Linked DNA regions of Kluyveromyces lactis. The protein of the gene in region 1 binds, or shares a complex with, the protein of each later gene. Links are inferred from orthologs where the notes say so. Each region holds a gene or a part of one and is shown in the gene's direction. Other genes may lie near its edges.

Evidence for each region. The genes of interacting proteins can lie anywhere in the genome.
Region 2: RSM18 (region 1) and RSM19 share a complex: the UniProt entries of both Schizosaccharomyces pombe proteins name them as parts of the mitochondrial small ribosomal subunit. The link is inferred for Kluyveromyces lactis from reciprocal best matches to the Schizosaccharomyces pombe genes rsm18 and rsm19.
Region 3: RSM18 (region 1) and RSM25 share a complex: the UniProt entries of both Schizosaccharomyces pombe proteins name them as parts of the mitochondrial small ribosomal subunit. The link is inferred for Kluyveromyces lactis from reciprocal best matches to the Schizosaccharomyces pombe genes rsm18 and rsm25.
Region 4: RSM18 (region 1) and MRPS16 share a complex: the UniProt entries of both Schizosaccharomyces pombe proteins name them as parts of the mitochondrial small ribosomal subunit. The link is inferred for Kluyveromyces lactis from reciprocal best matches to the Schizosaccharomyces pombe genes rsm18 and mrps16.

What each region holds. Positions count from the first base shown.
Region 1 is NC_006041.1:409,284-411,432, reverse strand, and holds RSM18 (mitochondrial 37S ribosomal protein bS18m), read left to right. Parts: upstream 1-1,151; coding exon 1,152-1,619; downstream 1,620-2,149. Other genes in the region: KLLA0_E04599g (uncharacterized protein), read left to right, coding at 1-251; KLLA0_E04577g (uncharacterized protein), read left to right, coding at 536-922; protein kinase PKP1, read right to left, coding at 1,753-2,149. UniProt on the Schizosaccharomyces pombe protein: Component of the mitochondrial ribosome (mitoribosome), a dedicated translation machinery responsible for the synthesis of mitochondrial genome-encoded proteins, including at least some of the essential transmembrane subunits of the mitochondrial respiratory chain.
Region 2 is NC_006042.1:666,663-668,909, forward strand, and holds RSM19 (mitochondrial 37S ribosomal protein uS19m), read left to right. Parts: upstream 1-1,467; coding exon 1,468-1,743; downstream 1,744-2,247. Other genes in the region: putative ATP-dependent RNA helicase DBP6, read right to left, coding at 1-1,200; type 2C protein phosphatase PTC6, read right to left, coding at 2,039-2,247. UniProt on the Schizosaccharomyces pombe protein: Component of the mitochondrial ribosome (mitoribosome), a dedicated translation machinery responsible for the synthesis of mitochondrial genome-encoded proteins, including at least some of the essential transmembrane subunits of the mitochondrial respiratory chain.
Region 3 is NC_006041.1:743,991-746,434, forward strand, and holds RSM25 (mitochondrial 37S ribosomal protein mS23), read left to right. Parts: upstream 1-1,154; coding exon 1,155-1,940; downstream 1,941-2,444. Other genes in the region: rRNA-binding ribosome biosynthesis protein UTP25, read left to right, coding at 1-190; KSH1 (Ksh1p), read right to left, coding at 533-751; EFM6 (putative protein-lysine N-methyltransferase), read right to left, coding at 2,176-2,444. UniProt on the Schizosaccharomyces pombe protein: Component of the mitochondrial ribosome (mitoribosome), a dedicated translation machinery responsible for the synthesis of mitochondrial genome-encoded proteins, including at least some of the essential transmembrane subunits of the mitochondrial respiratory chain.
Region 4 is NC_006042.1:2,519,192-2,521,528, reverse strand, and holds MRPS16 (mitochondrial 37S ribosomal protein bS16m), read left to right. Parts: upstream 1-1,470; coding exon 1,471-1,833; downstream 1,834-2,337. Other genes in the region: mRNA-binding protein RRP12, read right to left, coding at 1-747. UniProt on the Schizosaccharomyces pombe protein: Component of the mitochondrial ribosome (mitoribosome), a dedicated translation machinery responsible for the synthesis of mitochondrial genome-encoded proteins, including at least some of the essential transmembrane subunits of the mitochondrial respiratory chain.

The sequences.
Region 1 (2,149 bases):
ATAAAAAAGAAGATGAGGCTGAATTAATGGTTTTATCGTCTTCATTAGTATGTAAGCCCATTGATAGTTATCTGGCAGTATGTCTTCGTAGCCATGAACTTGAGTATCATTGGGCAATGCTGATAGCTTACGGTGAACAGTTTTGGTTGAAAGGAGTAAGCTCTAAACAACCAGATGATTATTTAATATTGGACGAGAGTTATAGAAAAGACCACAATCTAGCTGAAGAAAGTTTTGTATTTAACGATTAATGGATTGAAAGCTGGAAAAGTAGTAATATTTTCCAGCTTTTTAATTTGTTGTTACGTTTATATGTTAACCTACTTAACCTGAATAACCACCAGAGCGGATAGAACACTGACTGATAATAGATGAATTGATGTTACATTGGAAATCACACCAATATTGATAAAATCCTCGAATTAGTTCAGAATCGCAGTTATTTACTGATTCATTATTCCCATCAGATCCAGCCAAGAATCAAGACCCTGCCGAAAAGCTGGGGTAAACGTTTGATTGTGGCCCACGGCTGGCTATGGGCGATTTCTACGTGCGGCAGCAGCGCGCCAGCGCGCCGCTGATCAAAGATCCATTACTGCTGCAGGTTACCGACAATGAAAGCCAGCTAGCCTCGATGCTGGCACACGAAATCTCACACGTGACCAAGCGCAACGCACCGCTGACCTGGGTAGGCACTCGGCTCCATTTTGCTGGCTATAACCAACCTGACTGCCGGCATAGCAGCGCTCAGCGGTACCGTCGCCGGTACCCAGCAAACGGATCATCAGTTTTGGCCAGGTCAAAGAATAGGAGGCCGATTGCATCGGCCTGTAGGTGCTGGAGCGCGCCGGGTTTGATCCACAGGGATGCCCGACTTCCTGCAAGAGCTTTCCGATCAATCGCGCTACACCTCCAAGGTTGATCTGCGTAAACTGGGTTGACAACAGGAAAAAGGTTGAATGCCTGGCAATGACTTAAGTATCCTTTATTTCAATCTCTTTTTTTTTGAAATTTAGAGATCTTTTCAACATGGAAAATTTTATTCAATAACATGAATATTAAGCAAGCAAGAGAAGGAAAACAACCAAGTCGCTCGGGCCTTTCTACGCCTGTTAACGAGAGATTGAATAAATTAAAACACATCAGAAGAAATGTTTTCCCGCAGCTGCGCAAGATTCTTTTCTACCACAAGATATGTCTGCAACAGTCTTGACCAAAAACTTCTGAAAGAAGGTATGTCGGAAGCTAATAGCAAGCCCACAATCAAGAAGCTAGAATCCAAGTTAATCAAAAACTTTCAGCCGGGCTCCGTTTACAATCCATTTGATTTCTCCTTAGAAAGAATACATTTAGATAAGAAGTTTGGGGTACGTCCTGGATCGTTTGACCCATTCAACAAATTGAAGATCAATCCACTTGATTTATACACCAACCCAGAGTTCTTGTCAAGATTTGTGACATCAACGGGTAAAATATTACACAGAGATGTAACTGGTTTATCGGCTAAGAACCAGCGTCGTCTAACAAAGGCTATTAAGAGATGCCAAGCAATAGGTTTGATGTCTAAGGTTCACAAAGACATATCGGTGCTTCCTCAAAGAACTGCAAACAGAAGCTAATCATGACATGTGATAACTTCTTGTATATATGAATATATGTTTCTCAATAAATAGGATTATATCTGTAAATAGCGCTAACAGTATAAACACGTTGCAATGGAAAGCTCCGGGACTGAATGATAGTACAGTGTTCTCATTTGTCGAATAGTCTATCCGATGGACCGTGCAATCGTATATAAACATCAGTACCCCATCCCCACAATGACTGAATGTCAAGTGTACCATTGAACAACTCTAGGTACGCTTTGCACATTGGAAGTCCGAATCCCATACCTGCAACGTTTTGGACTTCTTGACCAGGTAAAACATAATCGCTCATACCGCTGTCCTTCTCTTCCTTCACCGTTGTGGAAAAAGAATAATCAAAGACTCGGTCTTCTACCTGTGGATCTATACCGCCTCCGAAGTCTCTGATTCTGATCTCAAGTTGATCGTCGTTTTTCACTATTGTTACTTCCACATCTTTGTCAACGTTGTTTTCAATATGTGCTCTCGAGCTGTTCTTAAGCAATTCTTGAAGGACGTATTCT
Region 2 (2,247 bases), on another chromosome or scaffold:
CTTGGGGTTGTGGAGATACAAATTGTACAACTTTTCTGCATTCGTAGTCAAAGTAGCAGAAAAGACCATTTTGATTACGTTTCCTGGACGTTTATCCTGCTTATCGTTTGTCAAATGGTGGAAAAGCACTTGGTTCCAATTTTGGAATGACTGATTTAATAGTCGGTCTGCTTCATCAAGGACTAAGAACTTCAAAGTTTTTAGGTCAAATGATTCCATCTGCAAGTGATCGACCAGTCTGCCCGGAGTGATGATTAGAATGTCTGGAGAGTTATACAAAAATTTGTTGTGTTCTTCTTTCAAGGAGTTCTCGAGTTTCGACATTGATACATTGAGACTGGTCCCTTGACTTAGTTTAGAGAGACAATCGTAGACTTGATGAATTAAAATTTTAGTAGGAACCAAAATTATTGCCCTAACTTTATTCACTGTTCTAGATCTCAAAATTTGAACCAAAGGGACAGAATATGCTAAGGTCTTACCGGAACCAGTTGATGCGTTTACTAATATATCACCAACTCGTCTTGTGAAAAGTTTTCTGTTTGCTTTAAAAGATGAGTTTAGAAGCGGGAGCACTTTATCGAATAGAATGGTCTGAATAGGGAACGTTTCAGATGAGAAATTGGAGGTAATATTTTTAAGCAGACGTGCATCTAATTCACCTTCGTAGCTATCGAATTGTTTAACCATTTTACTATCGTAATGAATTTTGGTTGCTGCATCCCACGCAGTGGATTTATATGTAGACGGATCTAGAAGCTTCAAGGCTTCATTGGTCACTTTGGCCGGTTGAGGAATTGGGGTAAGACTGTGAACATCTTTCATGGATACGTCCTCATCGTGTACATCGTTGTCACTACTGACCTTGTCTGAAGCGCTCAACGCACCTTGCAGGGAAAGAGTCTGTTGAAATCTATTTAATACGGAACTGTGCTTTGCATCAACTGATTGCTGAGAAGTTTCTGTAGGCGCAACAGATGCAACCTTGTTTTCATCTTGCTCACTAATTGTATCGGAATCATCCTCACTGCTGGAAGCATCATCCTCACTGCTGGAAGCATCGTCCTCACCAGAGCCTTCATCATCAGTTTCCGCATCTCTTTTCCTCTTTTGGGGCACAGTGGGTTCTTTTATTTGTGTGACTTCAGCTGTTAGTACATTTTCAGTCACCTTAGTAGGATCAAACCTTGCAGCAAACATGTTATTGACTGGATGCTATCGTTATGCTGTCGCTATGCTGTTACTGACCTTCTAAATTCCTGAAGCTCATCGCATCATATTACATCTCATCGCCATTCGTCTATTATTTTATTTCAGAACGGAATTCATAAAAAATTTCAATCTGTAAAACTTGAAATAACGACAAGATATAATAGAGTTAAGTCACTACCATGATATCAGTCAGCCAAAGGTTCCAGCAGTTAGACAAATATCTCGCGTCTACGATAACACTCATAACGTCATAAAATGTTCCCGTCATTGAGATTACTATCACGTTCTGTATGGAAAGGTCCAAATATAGTCCCATTACCAATAAAAGAAGCATTGGCCAAAGGTACGCCCATTAGAACAAATGCCAGATCTGCCACCATATTACCTCAATTTGTCGGACTGAAATTCCAAGTGCATAATGGTAAGGAGTATGTCGCGTTTGAAGTGACAGAAGATATGGTAGGAAGTAAGCTAGGAGAATTCGTACCAACAAGAAAGAGATTCAGTTATACTCAAACTAAGAACAAATGATTTGACATTTATGAAAAGCACAAAGTTAGTCAGACAGCAGCATGTATATAAAATCACACCTGGAAGTTCATGTACCACCGTGTACTCCATACGTAACTGTATCTATTACTAAGAAATGATTTATTGAACAAGTGCTCTCGATTAATTGGGAGTTAATGGTGTTTCTCATTGTTAAATAGATGCAAATGTTAATCATAACGAGTACTATATATAATAATTGAAGTAAAATAGAATATACACTCTTTACTTGAGGTTTCTTTTGAATTTAATTTATGATTAAGTTTGTGGACTTTTTTCAACCACTAGATCTTTCTCCACCGGATACACCACTTAGTAGCTTTTCCTCTCTAATCGCACCAGTGCGATCAATGACAGGCCAATTTCCCCAGTTCGGTAACCGCAGAATTACGCAAGTAGCATTATCAGAATGTTTAGAGCTAATAGCCATAACATATTGTAAAACTTCCTGAGCACAGAAGTGTGGAGAAGCAGTTTTCAAACCTC
Region 3 (2,444 bases), about 330 kb from region 1:
TCCTGAATTCTATTCTGAAGTTGTTCGCAATATTGGTAAGAACGTATTTTTAGGCAACTGTGATATCAACATTTCAACTGTCAGATGCATATATAGTAAGATGGACGGTCTTTCTCTAGAGAGAGTCGTAGGATCTAAACGCGCGGCAGTATTGGCTCATGGCCAAAACGAAGTGTACGAGTTTAAATAGAGTGGATCAAATATGCCATAAATAATTAGTAAACCGAAAACTTACGCAATCGTTCTCCTTTACTAATAGCTTAGAGTATTAAAATATGTTGCACTTTTCAACTTCTTTGTTTGTTGTAGAATTTTGAAACTCAAAGTCAGATTCAAAGAGTACATATTAATTCTTAATTATTTGATGCAAAGAGACAAGCCCGCAAACGAATCCAATAGCCGCCCGATAATAGATTAAACTAATTTTATACTTAAAATATAATTCTATAGACCTCAGAGCCGGTCAAACTTGCTAATGAGAGCTTTCACCTATAGCAATTGTGACTTATCTTTATCTTTTCCCTTGGGTTTATCAACTGTTGAATTGCGAAACTGCCATGGCAATGCAAGCTAAAGACACATAAGGACTAGCTCTTTCCCCAATTCTCGCAAACTTCCAAAATACTCCTAGTATACCGCTGTCCTTATAACGATCAAGGAGCGATGGTCTTTGTGCATGAATATATGTGCACGAACATATGAACAATAGTATAACTTGTAACAATGATTTAAAATTGAATAGGGCAGACATGTTTTTCAGAAAAGCTAGTGACCGTGAATATTCTGCCGAAGAAAATATCTACTCTGAACCTTTCAAAACAGGAACGAGATGAAACCTAAGGTTCATCAGTTATCATTCCACTGTATTGAAAAGAATAAAGGAACTTACGCTCCCCATACACTTAGCTCTTCGATCTTTAATTTTGGTGAAAAATGTTTACTCTTCACGTGATCTAAAAATTGAATGCTTCTACTTAGAAAAATTTGAAAAATCTGATCGACGATCCAAAATGAAATTATAGTGAAAAGTTGAAAAGTTCACAAATATGCTGTATGAACAGCTCCAGGACAACAAGTATTGGATCGATTGCTTGAACCTGCGAGTTTACTGAGATAGTATAGAGTAAACGGGCCATATAAACGTCAGATATAAAATGAAGGTTCAGCAAGAAGCCGTTAATGTACTAGAACGTACATCCGCCTATTTGAAGTCTGGTATTTTGAAGAAGACTCCAGCTTGGTACAATGTTATAGCGAAGGTACCACCAACAAAGAAGTTTGCTAGAACCCCACAACTGACACATCCTATGAACGGTAAATCTAGAACTGCACTACCTGATTACAGCAATTGGAAGGCCAATTCTTCAGGATTATACAAAACTAGACCAAATTCTTTGGAAAAGAAAGATGGTGCATCGAAGCTATATCAGTCCCCAAAATTAGTATATATCGAGGATAAATTGAGAAAATTGTTCTTCCAGCAACATCCATGGGAACTTTCAAGACCTAAGATTCTTGTTGAGAATACCCTAGAGACTCAAGAATATGACTGGTCTCATATCCAACAACTAGGCAAGCCATTGGATGGCGAATCAGTTGTACAAAGGACGCTTTTCCTATTAAAATCAGGAGAGAAAAAAGAACTCATTGATGCATATGATCAAGCTAGATTCGAGTTCTACCGTCTAAGAATACAACAAGAAATTCAAGATCAAGTTGCTCAAGAAGAAGCCGAAATGTTCGGTTCAGTCTTCCATACCACTTCAATAGAATACGGAATTGCTAAGGAACAAAAGGTCATTGACACATGGAAGAGAAAGGCCTTACAGCAAGCTGAGTTGATGGCTGCCAGAGCAAGTAGTCCTTCTGCTTCCTGGACAAACGAGACCGAAGAAGAACAAAAACCTATTGATCAAGATGTTGAGGAAATTCAACTATGATCTTCCACAATTAAACACAACCAATGAACACTATTCCCGTCAGAACTCTGAGTTTTACTGTCATTATTGTATAAAAATTTCATGTATATATAAGTCACTATAACTATAAAGTTACTCATAGTTAATTCACGAATTGAAAGTACTTTCATGAGCATCACAAAAAGCATAAAAGATCAAACTAAATGGGGTGTCTTTGCATTTGACAAACGTCAGTTGTCACCCTACTACTATTTTTTTATTTCTCCCTCATAAGCTGAAACAAATGAGTTCTCTGTTTCAAATATTTATCGAAGTTAATAAAATCTCGTATCTCTACAATTTTAAAGTTCTTCTTGATCTTTTGGAAGAAATGTTTGTCCGCTTTACGCCTTTTCTTGTATGCCATTAGAATAATTGGCACATTCTCCCCATCAGTTAATTCTAACAGTGTTTTTTCCAATAATGGGAAAGCAGCTTCTAAGTACACACAGTCCGCAGCTAGCACTAAATCAACCGGTTTCTTGA
Region 4 (2,337 bases), on another chromosome or scaffold:
TATTATATTGCTCAAAAGTTTCAAAATATGAATGATTTTGGAGTTCAATTCACTTGCACCTCCCATTGCTCTTAGCTTCTTATTGGAAATCGTTGCAGATTCATCAAGGATGGATACCAATGCATTAATAGCGAATGCTGAGATCAAAGGTGATGCGACGTGTTCTGCTGTTGGACCAGGTGGAGGGTTTTTTAGAATGTTGGTAATTGCATCCTGTGCTCTCTTCCTTACTTTTGGTCTTGGATCTAGAGATAGCTCAAGTAGACCATCCAAACCTCTTGTTGGAGTCACCTTTAAATTTTGAGTGTTATTCCACGTTTGCGTATCCTGGGCAATTAACAAAGCTTCTAAACAACCAAGAGCGGATTTGATCAAAGGAGCGTTAGCCTTTTCATCAGTAATACATGGGGCAACTTTAATCAAAATATCAGCAAACCTGCTCTTTAATATTTTCTTTGGTGTATAATGAAAAATGATGTCCAACAAATACATCGTTGATGTTGCTAATTGTAGATCTTTAATGGCCGCAGTTTCTGTATCGATAGTTTGATCCAGCAAGGACATCAAAGAAATAAGATAATTCACGATGTTCTTATTAATTGCCTCTTGCTCATTAATATTTTCTTCAATAGCAGCCAAGATTATGGCAATGTGCTTCTGATTCTCTAGTTTTGATGTAGATTGTCCTCTGATTTTAGCAAGCTTATCTTCAAGTTCAAGAAGCTTGGACGCTTGTTCAGGACCCATATTGCACAATTTGTTCGCTTGTCAGTTTTCAATCCCAAGTTAAACTCAGTAATTCTCTTTTCTGAGGTGTTGTTGATTATAACTCGTCTCTACTTGTTAGATGAGATGAGCGATGAGATGAGCTAGATTGAAAATTTTATACAGCTTGTGAAAAATTTCTTTTTAAGCCCTTAGTGATGAAGCAGCAAGGATCGTGAGGCAATGAAGAAAGCAGAGAATAAAAAGTAAATAAATTTTGGTTAATATATGCCAACTCTGTATATATGCGTCTGCTAAACGGGTTCAAGAACATACTATTTCATTATTTGTGTCGTTAACTTTCTTTACTGAATGCGATGTTATTTGTAATGCCAAGTCGTTTTATATGACTGCATTTTTGGTAAACTAATTCCCACCGTCAGTCTAACTCCAGTAAATAAACACTTTCTCACTTATAGATACTTTCTCATAGATCAACTTCCTATACTATTAGGCTGTAATGTCGCCATAAACGCCTAAGACGAATGTTGCTCATACGGCTGTTAGATATCCCACCTATATCACGTGATAGACATGCTTTATTTAGTTGGTGTTGAAAATCCTTCGAAAGATAGAAAAAAAAATTCAATCAACATTAAAAGCGTAATAACAGGACAAACATATTATGTATCAAGACGACCAGAGCGAGTAAACCAAGTCTCTTAAACCAGAATTTAACGCCAAGTTTGGTGAAATACAATAATCATGACGAAAGGTTTGGTGAGGATAAGACTAGCTAGATTCGGAAGGAAACATACCCCAGTATACAACATAGTTGTTACCAACAAACATAAGGCGTTGAATAGGAAACCAATTGAAGTATTAGGAACATACAACCCAATCCCAAAACCATTAACGAAGAAAGAGGTTAAACAAGGTGTTGTTCCTACTAAAGATGTGGAATTAGACTTCGGAAGAGCTAAATACTGGATCGGTGTTGGTGCTCAACCTAGTGATACGGTAACAAGACTATTGAGAAAAGCTGGAATCCTGGATGAAAATTGGGGAAAGACCTACACAAGTAGTAGGGTTGTTATTGAACCTAGGAAAGAAGTCTTTGAAGAATAGACCAGCTGTTCCGATTACTGTATTAAAAGCGGTATATCAATAATCAGGGCATAAATCACCATCTCCCAAGGCTTTCTTACGGTCAAGAACTCATGTATATAGGCTTAAATTGATAAGAGGAATTCGGGCACTTTTTCCGGTCATAAACCAATGTAGTAGTTACATACACTTAACAGCTTGGCCCCATGCGGTAAAATTGAAGTGATTAAATTTACATATCACCATATATAAGATGCTATCAGGTAATTCTACACAATAATAATAATCGTCATCAGCATATATTTCCCTGAATGAGGGAAGTATCATCGAGGAATACTGACTGTTAAACTATGTGATTTCCGAAAATTCATAAATATTAACAAAATTACAAGAACAAAAAGATGGTTTATGTTATGTTTTTGTGAATGAGTGAGTGAATGTCTAACTTCTCAAGTATTTAATAGGTATGTTTGGTGTAATGTTCAGGTTTGTATTGGAGATTAGTGCTCATGATGTTACATCGAG